Linked DNA regions of Danio rerio. The protein of the gene in region 2 binds, or shares a complex with, the protein of the main gene of each other region. Links are inferred from orthologs where the notes say so. Each region holds a gene or a part of one and is shown on either strand. Other genes may lie near its edges.

Evidence for each region.
Region 1: the proteins of rab11fip1a (region 2) and rab14 are in contact, whole or in part, in a crystal structure (PDB 4D0G), measured with the Homo sapiens proteins. The link is inferred for Danio rerio from reciprocal best matches to the Homo sapiens genes RAB11FIP1 and RAB14. Residues at the interface, in NP_001002814.2 of Homo sapiens: Glu1252, Ile1255, Asp1256, Asn1257, Leu1259, Val1260, Met1263, Pro1267, Asn1268, Leu1270, Arg1271, Ile1272; in NP_057406.2 of Homo sapiens: Leu28, His29, Ile44, Gly45, Val46, Glu47, Phe48, Gly49, Trp65, Arg72, Arg74, Ala75, Val76, Ser79, Tyr80.

The regions. Positions count from the first base shown.
Region 1 is NC_133180.1:69,326,911-69,333,977, reverse strand, and holds part of rab14 (ras-related protein Rab-14), read right to left. Parts: intron 5,187-7,067; coding exon 5,009-5,186; intron 4,909-5,008; coding exon 4,842-4,908; intron 4,221-4,841; coding exon 4,133-4,220; intron 1,291-4,132; coding exon 1,260-1,290; intron 1,162-1,259; coding exon 984-1,161; 3' UTR 1-983.
Region 2 is NC_133183.1:44,909,860-44,917,686, reverse strand, and holds the start of rab11fip1a (uncharacterized protein rab11fip1a), read left to right. Parts: upstream 1-3,832; 5' UTR 3,833-3,941; coding exon 3,942-4,285; intron 4,286-7,827. UniProt on the Homo sapiens protein: A Rab11 effector protein involved in the endosomal recycling process. Also involved in controlling membrane trafficking along the phagocytic pathway and in phagocytosis. Interaction with RAB14 may function in the process of neurite formation.

The DNA.
Region 1 (7,067 bases), on a different chromosome or scaffold from region 2:
GAGGGCCTGAATCTGGAATATTCTCCTGTCGGTCTGCTTCTTAAGCTGCTTTGATTTTTAAAGCTGCTCGAAAACAGGAGATCTGAAAGCTGGACAGACTTAAGACTATAATAAACACAAAACAAGCTCCAGACCCTCAGGAAAAACCAAATCAAAACTGCAAAGTCCGGAAAACATTCTTCACGACCTAAAAATCATCCTGTCCTCTTCAATATATTACTCTAACAGTTACTAGGTTAAAATAACTGTCTGAATCGACCTTTTTTTTGTTTGTTTTACAATGGACCGTCCCATTGGAATTCCTCTCAAAACAATACTAATCTTGTATATTACATGTATATTACTTCCTGAATAGGTACAAACAGGGATAAATATTTGGTGATTGAATGTGAAACTGGAAAGAAACAAAACTAATTTAAAACAGAATACAATAGTTTAGTTATAGATTTTCGTCATCGTTGTTGTTTAACAAAAACAATGTTACATACAGTGTTGACGCATGTCCTCTGATCACCTGTGACATCATGAATAAGGTTTGCCAATGTTTGGTTTACATTACGCTAGTATTCAGACAGCTCCTGTACATTGAGATGGTTTAGTTTATAGTTATGCACATCACCACGTCTGTAAAAGGATAAACCCAGCATCTCTTCAGTTTATCGACAATCATCTTCTCTCTTTAGGATTAGTGTTCAGCAGAGGAGCCGCCGTCCTCCCTCGAGTGCTTGCTGGGAGCACTGGGATGTGTGCGTGTATGAGAAACAAGCAAAACAAGTGAGGGAAGGAGACAGGAGAAGAAGGGAAAAGAAGAGAGCGGTAAGGAAGGAATGAGTGAATGAATTATGTTACACCTCCATCACACAGAGCCGTCAGGCCTCTGCGAGCAATCACACTGCGGGGGGGAGAGGCTTTAGATACAGGTGGGATTTGTGGGAGAGGAAGGAGCAGAGAGAGAGAGATAGAGAGAGAAGTCTCCATGGTCATTAACAGCTGCAGCCCTCTTTCTGGGGCTGTGCGTCGCTGCTGAGCCGCCCTCCCTGCGGGGCGGTGGGCTTGTGCTGGACCCCTGACTCGGCTGCGTTCAGGTCCAGGCTGCCGTCCTGAATGTTCTGGTAGATCTTCTTGGCAGCTTCCAGAAAAGCATCCTCCACATTCTCGCCTCTGTTGAACAGACACGCAAAGATGAGCTAGAATGTGAAGGATATTATGACAGATAAAGAGAGGAGGCTCTGACAGCAGATGGTCTGAAAGTCACTTACGTTTTTGCACTTGCCTCAAGGAACAACAAACCTGTTTCAAAAGATTAAAAATGCCACAGTTAAACGTTTTAGCCTTGTAGTTAATTTTATTTAGCAACAAGCAAGCTTGTGCTCAAGTTAGTGAAACATTAAATGAATAACTAGTGGAACTCCACCTTTTTGACTAGAAGAGCCTGTTCATATTTCTCTTATAATTAAGACCACATCTACTTTACAGTACAAAGTATTTTCCCCATTAATATAATACAAAAAGTCTGTTTTGTGTTATGAACTAAACCAACCAGCTATGAGAGGAATCACATTCAACTTTGTGACCGTGGCAGTGTTTCCTCTTGGATTTTTTTCCAGCTGTGGTGGCAGGCCTCTTTTACACAGATCTACCAACTACCTGTGGCGTTATTTCAATGACAAATGTCGCGATCGCATTTATGTAATAGCCTACGAGCATGCGAATCTCTTTGCTTGCGCGCCGATTTCCATTGTTCATATACAAAATTATTGCGCGCCCCCTCAAATATACACTGCTCAAGCGCAGATCTTCTTGTGCGCTCTCAAATAAACGCTGCTAAAGTGTGATTTAATGCATTTATGTAACAAGTATGTCTTCAAGATTTATTAGATTTGCTGGGAATATTTATAAATGTCTCCAATAGACCAACAGAGCGATATTAATGCGTCCTGAAGTAATGCGAAATGGTTATACGTTGTGTTTGCTGGTCTCACGCATCATGCACCTGTCAGTCAGCACGTAATCTTAAAGGGTTAAAGAAATGATGCACAGCACTACTACAGTTACAGAAAAGTTTGCCCTGTTATAATTCACTTACCTTTTAATACGTTTTGGTGCAATTATTAGATTATCATTTAAAAAACATGACTGAATGTTTTGAATGAAAAGTTGCAATGTAGCAATAGCGGATCAATTTTGGAGTGGTGCCCCAGCATGGAAGAATGAATGTAGCGGAAACCATGCATGGAATTTTCTGGGTAATGTAGTTTTCTCCTTAATTTCTGTTATTAAACATTTTAAAATGAAGTTGAAATGATGCGCAAGTATGAGTTAAACAAAAGCATATACAATCAATTAATAACAGGTCTGTCTTAAAATGTCTTGAATTTTTAAATATTAGTTCTTGTTAAAAATAAATCAACAATTTGACTCTGAGATTTTCAAAGTGCATCGCTTTTCTCTCTTGAATTGATTTAAGAGTTTAGTTTTAACAGCAGATGCTGTATGCTTTACAAACAGACGTACTCTGCTTGCATTTAATTCTCTGCAAATACCACTTGAACCTAAAATGACCATTACTGAAGGTAGGAAAGGTTTACATGTGCAAGAGTGTTCATAGTGAGCTTTCTTTAAATTCATATCATTACATAAAAAGCCATCTTGCATGAGTGGAATGTATAAGCACACTTCCTATGGACCAAAAGCTCCTTCTCAGAATCGAACTTAAGAGGGAATAATGATGCATTTCGAAAATCTGTTGCATTGTTGATGCAAATTTGGTTTCTCAAACAACTTTTTTTTTTTTTTTTACCACAGCTCTGGTTTAAAATAACATTCCCAGGGCAGGGTTCAACACTAAGGATTTTTTTCTACTGGCCCAATTGGGCCAGCAGTTTAGATTTTTTACTTGCCCTGGCAATATTTTCACTGGCCCACCAAAAAATAAAAAAAGTTAATAGCTATTTCTTATGTTTTAAATATTGTGTCAAAAATGTGTTTGAATCTAGAATTTAAATATTTTTTAAATGTTAATAAATGCATAATGAGCAAATCGTTGCGTTGTACTCATGTAAATGTCTGCTTACAAGACATTCTTTTAGCCTCATCATTTAATGTTGCCGTCACTTCGCTGTACTGGTTTATACCAGGTTACAAAAAAAGAAATCACAACATCCAATCAGATAAGAGGAACTGAACAGAGAAGGTGGCATTTAAAGGCTTAAAAGCACAAACTGTTTCTCGATTGTAAGACTGTATTCATACGCAATTGACAAATAATCGGAGACAAATGAAACTTTTATAAAATAATACAAGGCAGCACATATTGGGCCAGTAACAATCCTGTCTACTGTCCTGAGTGCCCTGGCCATCGGGCAGTCCTTATTGTTGAGCCCTACAGGAGAAAATAAATTTTTACGTTTGAATCCTGATTGTTGCTCTGGCTATTACATAATGAATAATGATGTTAATTTAATTACCCATGACTAGACCCAACACACAGAATCCACACCTGCAGAAATCTGCAGATTTTTAGCCCATTATGGAGTCTACTTATTTACTTGTGTAAACAATTATTTAGTTTTTTTATATAAATATTAGTAATATTATTGAATATTATGCAAATCTTTATATAATTTATGTACAATAGTTTGTAGTCTTTTAGTGGAGATGTGGTAAACGTGGTTTTAATAGGATCTGCATTGTAAACCTTCGATAAAAGTTAATAAGTGGTTATTTGTTTCCTGCTTTCATGTGTTATTTTTTTTGTTTCTATACTCTCAAAATCATTTCGCAAAAATCTGCACATTTTATTTTTTAACAAAAAATGCACAGAAATGGCAGAAAAAAGTAAATGTCTGAAGACTCTGTCTGGCCTTGCCCATGACACATCTTCAGTCTGTATTGCAGAAGTGTATGTTCTTCAATAAAACACTTACCAAGAAAATGTGAAAAAAAATATGATTTTGTATATTAATTTTTAACGTTTTAATCTAGTCTGATTATTTAATGGTGAAATCAACTTAGTATTTATTACTATCATTATCCTGCATACTCATTGTTGTAAACCACTAAATAAAAAGCCTAAATACAAATCCCCTAAATGTTCTGTATTTCATTTTCCCTTTTCAAACAAGCATCTTACCGTTCTCTTCAGCAAACTGCTTGGCCTCTTCATATGTGACATCTCGCTGGGCTTCTAGGTCTGCTTTGTTACCGATTAGAATGATGACCTGAAGAATTATTTACATTGTTTAAGGCGATTAAGCACACAACATAAGCTGTTAAAACATGTATAAAGCTCCAACACTGTATACTTAAAGGTCCAGAGAAATTAAAATTACGTTTTGTATATGTTAGTATCAATATTGTTAGTTTTTCAATTATATCTATTAGCTAGTGTGCCGCAAAAAGGGACAAAATTCCCATTTAGAAAATATTAAACTGATATAAACATGTAAAGCTTGTAGGTTGTCATTTTCACCTAAATTGATAAATGTTTTTTTTTTTTTTCACGTCAACCCATACTACAGTTACTCATAAAATCATAACCAATCAAATGCTCTCTAGTATTTGACATGTCCCGCCCCGTTCAGGACTCGCATTTGCTTTTCATTTGATGCTCTTGAGCTCAATCCTTTGCTGGCAGAGCGGTGATAAAACAACACTAAAGGCTATTTTTTTTAAGATAGAGGGGCTACACTATGCCCCACCCTCTATTTATGTTCCATTAAGATTGTGTCAAACATCAAATAAAAATGCACATTTTAAAGCACTTCACAGGACCTTTAAATGTAAATGTTTTATAGTCTTCTTCATACAGCCAGTATGAAGTATGTAGTCAGTGAACTTACAGTATTGGGGTTGGTGAGATTCCTGGCATCAGTCAGCCAGCTGCTAAGGTGATTGTACGTGCTTCGCCTGCAAATAAAAAACAAATTCAGTTATTTTCTTGATGCCTTGCAAAAATAAGACATCATTCGCAAATCAACCATGCAATCAGAGCTGAACATTAGTTTACCTGGTGATGTCATACACCATGAGGGCCCCAGCGGCTCCTCTGTAGTAGCTGCGTGTGACAGCACGAAACCTCTCCTGACCTGCCGTGTCCCAAATCTGAAGCTTCACCTTCTGCCCACTCACTTCAATTATCCGTGTGCCAAACTCAACACCGATTGTATGAGGACAGTCAGCCATAACTTAAAAATAAAAAGAAAACTGATATTAGACATGATAAATTGACCTGTCATAACTCTCTTTGATTAAAACCACGGCAATCAATAACTAATATACAAAGGATAAATTCTATTTAGTAGCGTTTTCAAAACATCAGTGCTTTCTGTCTCTTCTGTCTCCATGTCAGATTAAAGTGTTTGCTGTTCTGTGAGCAGCTCAGGATCTTGATTAAATGATGCAAACTCAAGTTTTACTTGTCTTAAGGCTCCAATATGCAGATGTTAAATTTAGTTTCTCTTCTAGATTGAGGGGCAGTTCTATTATTCTGCAGCTTTTCTGTGTTCATATTTGTCTGACGCCATGTTTACATCTGCTGTTACTGTAGATGGATTTTTTAGCTTGATTTTTTTGTTGGAATTATTTACAAACTCTAAAAATAGATGATAGGCAGTGTCTGAAATGTTTCGAGCTTGTCCACTTTTACCGTCTTGATTTGGCTTCATGTGTTCAAATGCATTTGGTTTCCACTAAAGACCTTTCCATCAACTGATGTCATTTAATGGGGTTTATGCAGAAGGACTTTTAATTTTAGCCAGCTCAAATGCTTTCAGTCATGCCATTACAAAAGTGCAGCGTTTAATATCTGGTTTCTTTAAAAATCAATGATCGTCACTGCCTGATTAATATACAATAAAGTAGCTCTCAGACCAGACAAGAAGCACTGCATTAAATTTCACTGTTCTGCTCTAAGTCTTTAAAACGGACATTTACTTTCCCACAGTATTGTCAATGTAGTTTCTGTGATCGCCTGCTGCTCCTGATGGCGTTTATGTTTAGACAGCTTTTCATCTCGTTTTATGATTATGGAACTTTATAAAAATATAAATAACACTAATCTTTCTCCAGAAGATTGTTGTTGGCTGAAAAACACCAGCTCTGCATATACTCCATTTTTAAACATCACAGGACATGTTGAAATGTACAAGCCAAACTATGTCATCTGATATTGTATAAGCAAAAGACAAATGTTCCCTTACCAGTTCTGATTCTAAAACAAACCAACAGCAGCCTGAGTGGTTGGCTGCTGAACAAAATAAAAGCTGTTGCTCCCTGTCATTTTACATTTCCCATCTTTTAAAGGTCACATGTTGATAGTGTATGATTATATTTCACAATATTCAACTACAAAATAAATTGGGAAAATCAATATTTGAACCTACTCATTAGCCTTGCCCTCAAAGTAATCAGGAAAGAGGACAACAGAGACTAGGTTCAAGCTAATTGTTGGTTAAAACAAACCAATTCTGTCTGAAAATCATGCCACACTAGCTCTTCCTTGATTTTAAATGAAATATATATATGGGCCTTTTGAAATCCATCATTCCAGTCACACTTTGTTTCAGCAATTGCGTAATCTCAATTTTTGTGGACAGATGATTATAGCATTACACAAGACTTGTAATTAGCAGCATTTATTAATTGTACTGTGATATAAATATCTGTTAAGTCTTCAATTTTATTTAACTCTTGCTACTTAAAAAATTATATATATATATATATATATATATATATATATATATATATATATATATATATATATACACACACACACACACACATACATACATACATACATACATATGTACATATATGCATACATATGAATAAATATTTATTAATTTCTTATCACAAAGCAATATAATTATAATAAATAATAATTTACTAAGGAATCAAAACAAAAAATCTAATATCCCAACTATTAAAGAGATACTTCACCAAAAACTGAAAAATCATTTACTTCTTCCAAATCTGTTTGAGATTCTTAGATTAAGAATTATTTTTATTATTTATTAAAATGACCTACTAATGATTATTTTATTAACTCTACTCCCACCCCAACGCTA
Region 2 (7,827 bases):
TATATAAACCAGCTATTTGCAAGTTGTTTGAGGTGTTTGAACAGTCCAACATACTAAGTCTATGCTAAGCATATAATAAAGAAAAGTATGTTTGATTGTTTTATACAAAGAAAAAGCGAATGGGTGCGTGTATGCAAATTGTGGCTCCTCTAAAAAGAAATTGGTGGAGGAGTTGGTGTGGCAAAATATGCAAAATGATTTTGTGTGCTTTTTTAGCTTGTTATACCACTTACTATTACAGACTGTTTGAACGAAATTAATCGTTTAATACTGAATATGCCAAGGGATTTGAACCTGAAGTTCAGCTGTTATTGACTATGCAGATTGATCAGAACGGTCGAACATCTGCTTGATTTTTCCTGTTCAGTTTTTCTTCTTCAGTCCCTTTGTGTTTTCATGTTTTATGCATTTGTTTCATACACACAATTTCATTTACGTGTCTGTAAGAATGTATTATGTGTTTTGTATGTATTGTTCGACCATTACAGTGTTATTTCAACTTTTTGTAGAGAATTATAGAGAACCATTGGAAAAGTTGCTTAATAGTGCCCTCTGCTGGGCCATTTCTGTCATTGATCAAATGCACTGAAAATGAATCCTGTTGATGGACGAATGATATCAACAAAGTGACAACTCATTCAGATGTCACCCAGAGTATTAAGGGATTTATAAGGAAGGGCAAGTGTTTGTCCATAAATGATTAGTTGTAGTGCCATGTGTAACATGGACTTTTTAAGCACTTGGTTCAGGTTATGGATAAAGCATTTGACACATTCTTTTAAATGATAAGTATTTATATTATACATATCAGTATTAATATTTTGAGTAACTTTTATTGTCATTATGCAGTGTCATAATATCAGTATTTACAGAGGATTGGAAGCCTGATTTATCAACTTTTTAGTCTTTAAATGCACACTAACATATTCAAGCTGGACCTCAAACTCCAACTTCCTCTTTTTGTGTTATCAACACCACATAGAACAGGTTTTGTTCACTACGAAGCATTGATCATCCCAAAAATAGTTAGCAAAAATGAAGTAGACATTTGTACTCGGAAACAAGGATATACAGTCATGCCCGAGATTATTCATACTGTACCACTGACAAATTCTGACTTTAAGTTACTTTTACTCAACAAGCAAGTTTTTTTGGTTGTTGTTGTTATTTTTGTTTTTGACCAGAAATGACACAAGCTTCTCCCAAAAGATAATCAGATAACATATAAAAAACAAAAACCACAAAAAGTATTTGAACAAAAAATTATGTCAAGCTTGACTGATTCTAACCCTGAAATGTCGAAATCATTCTTAATATGAAAGCAAAGAATGGACAATCACAACCAGAAGCCAAATGGTGAATTCCAATCTTCACACTGACAGTTTTTCTTCCCCACCCCACCAAGCCCACAAGCTAAAAAATTCTGAATATAGTGCTATTATCCCCTGTGTCCCATCATGGCAAAGTAACAAGTGAAACAGAGTATTTGTCTTCAGCTTACTTTAAATTGTGTTCAGGGATATTTATGTGCCAAAGAAGCTCACAGACAATTAATGCTGAACATTTTCAATATTGTGTAGTTTCCCGTTGACCCCTTCAAGCAAGAAATCATTGCCCTCATCATTGTCAAACCTGTATTAAAAAACAGACATACTGAACTAATTTTCCTTTTTCCCACAATCACAAATCATGTAAAGCCATGATGACTATGTAGGTTAAAATATTAATTTTAAAGGCTGAAATACACTGCTCACCATCATGTCATTGAACATTTCATGTGTTACTTAATTTTGGTTTAAATAAGTAGTTCTTGGTGCAAAATGTCTTTTGAAAAAGCAAACAAAACACAACCATGAAATTTGTGGTCTGCTCAAAGTGTACCATGTTTATACACAAATTGTTTTGTTTTCCTTTTTTTTCTTTAAGGGATTTACATTTTAAATGTCTTATGTGTGCATAATGGTTTCATGTGACATTGTGATATTTGCATGAACAATCGTATTTTTCTCTGGGTAGACCTAAAGTGTCTGAGGGTCAGTTTAAATTCATTGTGTTCCTCAATGTTTTGATTGTAATCTCTACATTTAAAAGGGAGATTTCAATAGTAACATGAGTATTTATATATATTTTGTCACTCACATCATATGAAAATGATAGCAACATTTTTTGTACCAATTTCAGTAATATATTTGCTATAGATGTTAAGATTGTGCCTTATGAACGACATGATGCAAAATAAAGGTTTGGTAAAAACTACGAGAATATTTCAAATCATTTTCACTTTGATCTTAAATTGTGTTATACAGGCCCGTTGCCAGGGAGGGTTTGGGTGGATCTATTTTGACTGCCATGCCATCATAAATAGTGAAAATAACCCATTAAAAATGGCTTTAAGAGCAAACAGAATCCGTGCTGATGGAAACGGAATGTTGATTCAGTGTGGCTTCAGCTAATAAGTTTTGCCCAATGATATGATCCAGAGTCCAATATCCAGCTGTGCAAGTGAACACACAAAATGATGTAAAAGAAGTCATCTTTCACTACTGTATTGTTTTTAAATAGAAAAAAAAAACATTTTACAAGTAACTTTTATTATAAATAATTTAATATTTTCTTGTTTTGAAATGGCTAAATTCTGACTGAGGAAGGTTGAATGTGCTGGCCAGTTTATTTGTCTCATAAATGACAATAAGCTACAGTTTTTAATGTAAAACTTTAACAGATTCCTTTTTTTTCTAATGATATATGATGTAATAAATTTATAATTTTAAAAAATAAGTATTTTATCACATTTATTTATTCTAAATCTTTAGGAAATATTTGGTACATCAAAAAGTGTGGTTATAATGACCACCATCCAACAAGTGAATTCAGCTAAAAATTAGTGCTTAAAATGTCACTAAAATGCAGTATTTAAATTTAATAACTACATTGAAAGTTACTGCAAAAAGGTCTATGTTTGAAAAAAAAAAAAAAAAAGAACCACTAACTTCACCAGGCTACAGGCCTGTATCTATCTAAATGAAAAAAAAAAAATCCCAGCCCAACGATTTGCGTCTGACAATTACGTAACCTCTGTTTCCATGTGAAATGCAAATTCACATCCTTCACAAGAGTTTAAACCAATTCAAAGTTAGTTGTTATTCGACTGACACGTAATTTATCCTATCAGAGTGCTGTATTGTAGTGACTGGGCGGAACAAATACTGTCACGTAGGACAAAGGAATGAACATCACGCTTGTAAACTACTAAGGATACTGTTTCTCTAGTGCCTGGAGCAGACTGATCTGAGGGAGGATGAATAATCGGCTTCATAATAATTACTCACGCTCCCTTGTTCTGTTGTCATCTTGCTAAATATACTTTATGTGGTTCATTTGACCCGAGGAAGTAAATAGGGGTTACATATTGAAAATCCAATAAGCGTTCAGGTAACCGTGCTTAAACATAGAACATTTTTAAATATCCATGAAGGTAAACTCCACTGAGGTTTTAAGGTATTTTGTGACTGCGAAACGTGCATGAATAGTCAATGAATGCTATGCTAGTGTCTGATTGGTTTTCTGTTGTCGAACTCGTTGACATATTCAATCAACCATCGTTTACTGTTAACTTTTTGAGGTTAAAATAATACTGAAATTAGGGCCAAAGAGTAAAAGCGGTACAGACACATTGTTTAAAGTAGCATTAACCCGGAATTCTAAAATAAACCATCATAAGCTCTTCTGTAATAGCTTAACTTGAAGAATGGTGTGATACCTGCATCACCTGAGCGCTGGGTACACACTGTGCGTCATGCGTAAAGGGCGGGACTTGTGAGATCTCCCAAACAGAACAGTTACACACAGTAGCTTTGAACGACGCCGGACACACGGCAAACATCAAGCAGGGACGTACTTACAAAGAGCAATTTTAGTCCCGTTTGAACTTGTATTTAAACATGTCTTTGGGTGACCAGCAGTGGTATCCCACCAGCGTTCAGGTAACCGTGCTCAAAGCACGAAACTTACGTATCAAGGGCAAAAATGGAACGAACGACGCCTATGCCATCATGCAGGTGGGCAAGGACAAGTTTTCCACCTCGGTAGCGGAGAAATGCGTCTCACCGGAATGGAAGGAGGAAGCGACGTTCGACTTGCCGCTGGTACATCAGGGGGACGTGGAACGATGCACGCTGTACATCATCGCCATGCACCGTGCCCTGGTGGGGCTAGACAAGTTTTTGGGGCAGGCTGTCATCAATTTAGTGGACCTCCACGCCAACAGATCACGCAAGAAAACCGAGTGAGTGCCGTTCTGTCTTATACGGAAATAATGTAGATATGACATTATCTGAGTGTCATAAAATATGCCACTGACTCAAAAGTTTAATTAATAAACTGCCGATGAGTTAACCATAGCTAGTTTTGGTCTATGATTCTGCATGGAAAAGTTTTAATACTCCGCCCTTTTAGCACGGCATATTATTATTAGGGGGTCAAGCGCGTAGCGCTGAAACCCTATTGTATTTGTTAGGATTTTTATTATTATTATTATTCTGCCGAAGTCACTATTGCCCAGGCCAAACCGTAAGGCCGAGAGAGCTGAAACTTGGCCAGAAGGTAGTACCCCGGTACACTACGTTCTCACCAAAGATCAGCCAAATCGGACCATAGGTGGCGCTATGGCGCCAAAAACCCACTTTTTGGACATTTTTGGCCGTTATTTGTTTACCGTTTGTCGTAGACTCAAAAACTTTACATATTTTGAATCCTTGGGTTAACCCGAACAAAAGTGCACAGCTGCACTTTTTGCTCTACGGCGCACCGTTTTCCCGCTACATCGCAATTTGTCCGAAACCTATTTTTGCGAACTAGTCCTAGGTTTTTCACTCAATCTAAACCAAACCAGCTCTCAAATGTTCTCTAGACACTGAATATCAATAATTATCAAAAAAAAGTTGACATTTTTATTCTCACTCGAAACAGTACACAACAATGTTCAATGCTAATTGAAGCTAAATGCTAATTGTGGCTATAACTTTTGAACGGAATGAGATATCATCACCAAACTTGGTACACACATGTATAAGCTCAATTTCAGGTCACAGTGCAAAAACAGTAGACTTTGGCCACACTGTGGCGCTATAAAGCTTAAAAACCATAAAATGACTCTAACCTTACAACCGTTAGTCCGATCAACTTGAAATTTGGCATGCAGTGTCTTTGATCAGTTTGCCATGAATCATTATAAGGACATTGGCACATCTCAAAAAACATGGCCGCCATTAGCCAATAAATATTGAGCAGCCATTTAACAAGGTTAACGATCAGTGATCGTAACGAAACTCGCTGGGCATGTTCGACTCACTGTCCTAGAGGTCTGTAAGAATTTTGAAAGAAATCGGCCACTAGGGGGCGATTTTACACAATTTTAAGGTGTAATGAGTTGTGTATCACACAACCTTTTGCAAAACCACAGAAAATACATATCATATGATAGGCCTGCTTATACCGAACAGTTTGACACTAAAATCACTGCTGTCACTCGCACTGTTCATTAAATATTCATCAACATATGAAAAACCTACTTTTGCGAACTAGTCCCTGGTTTTTCACTCAATCGCAACGAAACCAGTGTTGGTGGAATCTCTGGACTGTGTAGATCAATAATTATCAAAAAAAAGTTGAACTTTTTACTTTGGCTAGCTGTAACAGGCTAATTTACAAAAGGGGCGTGTCCACACGGACCTACATGCCTGTAAACCAATAAGGAAAACTCACAACATCACAGAAATTGGTGAGCACATGTGCCATATCAATGAGAAGAAACTTGCAAAATTTTGTGAAGATCAAACCATAGGTGGCGCTATAATAGCAAAAATAGTCTTAAAAACATGCCAAATGGCTTAAAAATAAAGTAAATGTGCTTCATTTAAACACTATTTCACAAATACACTTAATCTACATATCATGTGATAGGTCTGCTCATACCGAACAGTTTGACACTAAAGCCACTGCTGTCACTCACACCGTTCATTAAAAAACCATCAATATAAACAAAACATACTTTTGCGAACTAGTCCCTGGTTTTTAGCTCAATCACAACGAAACCAGTGTTAAATGAACCTCTGGACTGAGTAGATCAATAATTATCAAAAAAATGTTGAACTTTCCATTTTAGATAGCTGTAACAGGCTCATTTACAAAAGGGGCGTGTCTACACGAACCTACATGCCTGTAAACCAATAAGAAAAACCCAAAACATCACAGAAATTAATGAGCACATGTGGCATATCAATGCGAATTAACATGCAAAATTTTGTGGTGATCGGGCAATAGGTGGCGCTATAATAGTAGAAATGGTTCTAAAAACATCATAAAATGGCTTAAAAATGCAGTAAATGTGCTTCATATACACACCTATCACTGAAATGATGTACAAGTTAATTTTTCTTGCCCATATTGGATGTTTAAATGTCTTAAAAACACATATTTTCAATATTCTATCATTTTAGCCACTATAACACAGACTTTTAACTGTCACTTACCATTTCTAACCACTAGATGTCACAACAAGACCACTTATTTATTGTTCATAACATTTGCATACCTTTGTTGTTTTACATCTTTTTGATTTGAAATCAGGGAAATTGCATTTAGGATCATTCTGAATCATATTTTGACCTGATATAAACACTGCTATGCATTAAACATCTAATTTGGTCACAGTTAACCTCTGTGTAATAATTCTAATAGGCAAAACTGGTTCTATAATTAAACACCTTGTTTTAAAACATGTGTAAAGAAAATCACAACTGTTGCAACTAGATGGAAGTAACAGACCACTCATAGTTTATAGTTTATTTTACTGCTCTATAGCAAAGAATGTTATGTAATGTAATGCATTCTGAATCCCAAATTGACATGAACTGAACACAATTAATGCATTTAAGATTAAATTTTGTCAAAGCTTGTCACATCTTTTACTCTGTAGATTTTTTAATTCTTTTAATAAAACACAAAATTATTACTTTATATAGTGATATAGTTTTGTCATTTTTGTTGGGAAGAGCTAAAATAGCCAAAACTCATGAATGGATTGAAATATCTACACCAAACTTATTACACATATGCAAGTGGTTAATCAGAGGTCATAGCATGAAACTCGTAGACATTGGCCACATGGTGGCGCTATACATTGTAAAATCACTGTATCTGAGTAACCATTTATCTGATTAACTAGAAATTTGACATGCTCTGTCTTTGTCTAAGGTGCCATGACTCGATCTACACATTATATCTTAGGGCTGCTTATACTGGTCACTTTGACTTAAAAGCGGTCACTCGAAATGTTCATTAAAATTTGTCAATATGTAAAAATCGAAGTTGCTTCTCTGGAGTGTTTAATCAAACATTTGTTAGCTCAATCTATAAACTTTAACACTCTAATCGTATATTTCGTTGTCGAATAAACTACTTACAGGCGTCCTAACTGCTATATGACCTTACCCTGCTAAACTGCTTGACCCCCGTTAATTGCTGCTTGCAGCTATATTTATTATTATTATTATTATTATTATTATTATTATTATTCCTAGACTATTACAATAAAATAATTATCAATAATGCATTGTTTTTATTTTAGTTATTTAACCTTTTCAGGCATTGAATGCAGGCTCTTCGTTTGTTTGTATGGTAACTTTTTTTCTAAAATGTTTTTCCCAATGTTTCCCAATTTTCCTACTCAGCATTTATCAACATTGTCAGAGACCAAATAATCTCAAAGGGGCTTATTTACAAATATGTAGCTGTTATTTTTTTAGTAATTCTTTTAGGTCAGTTTTA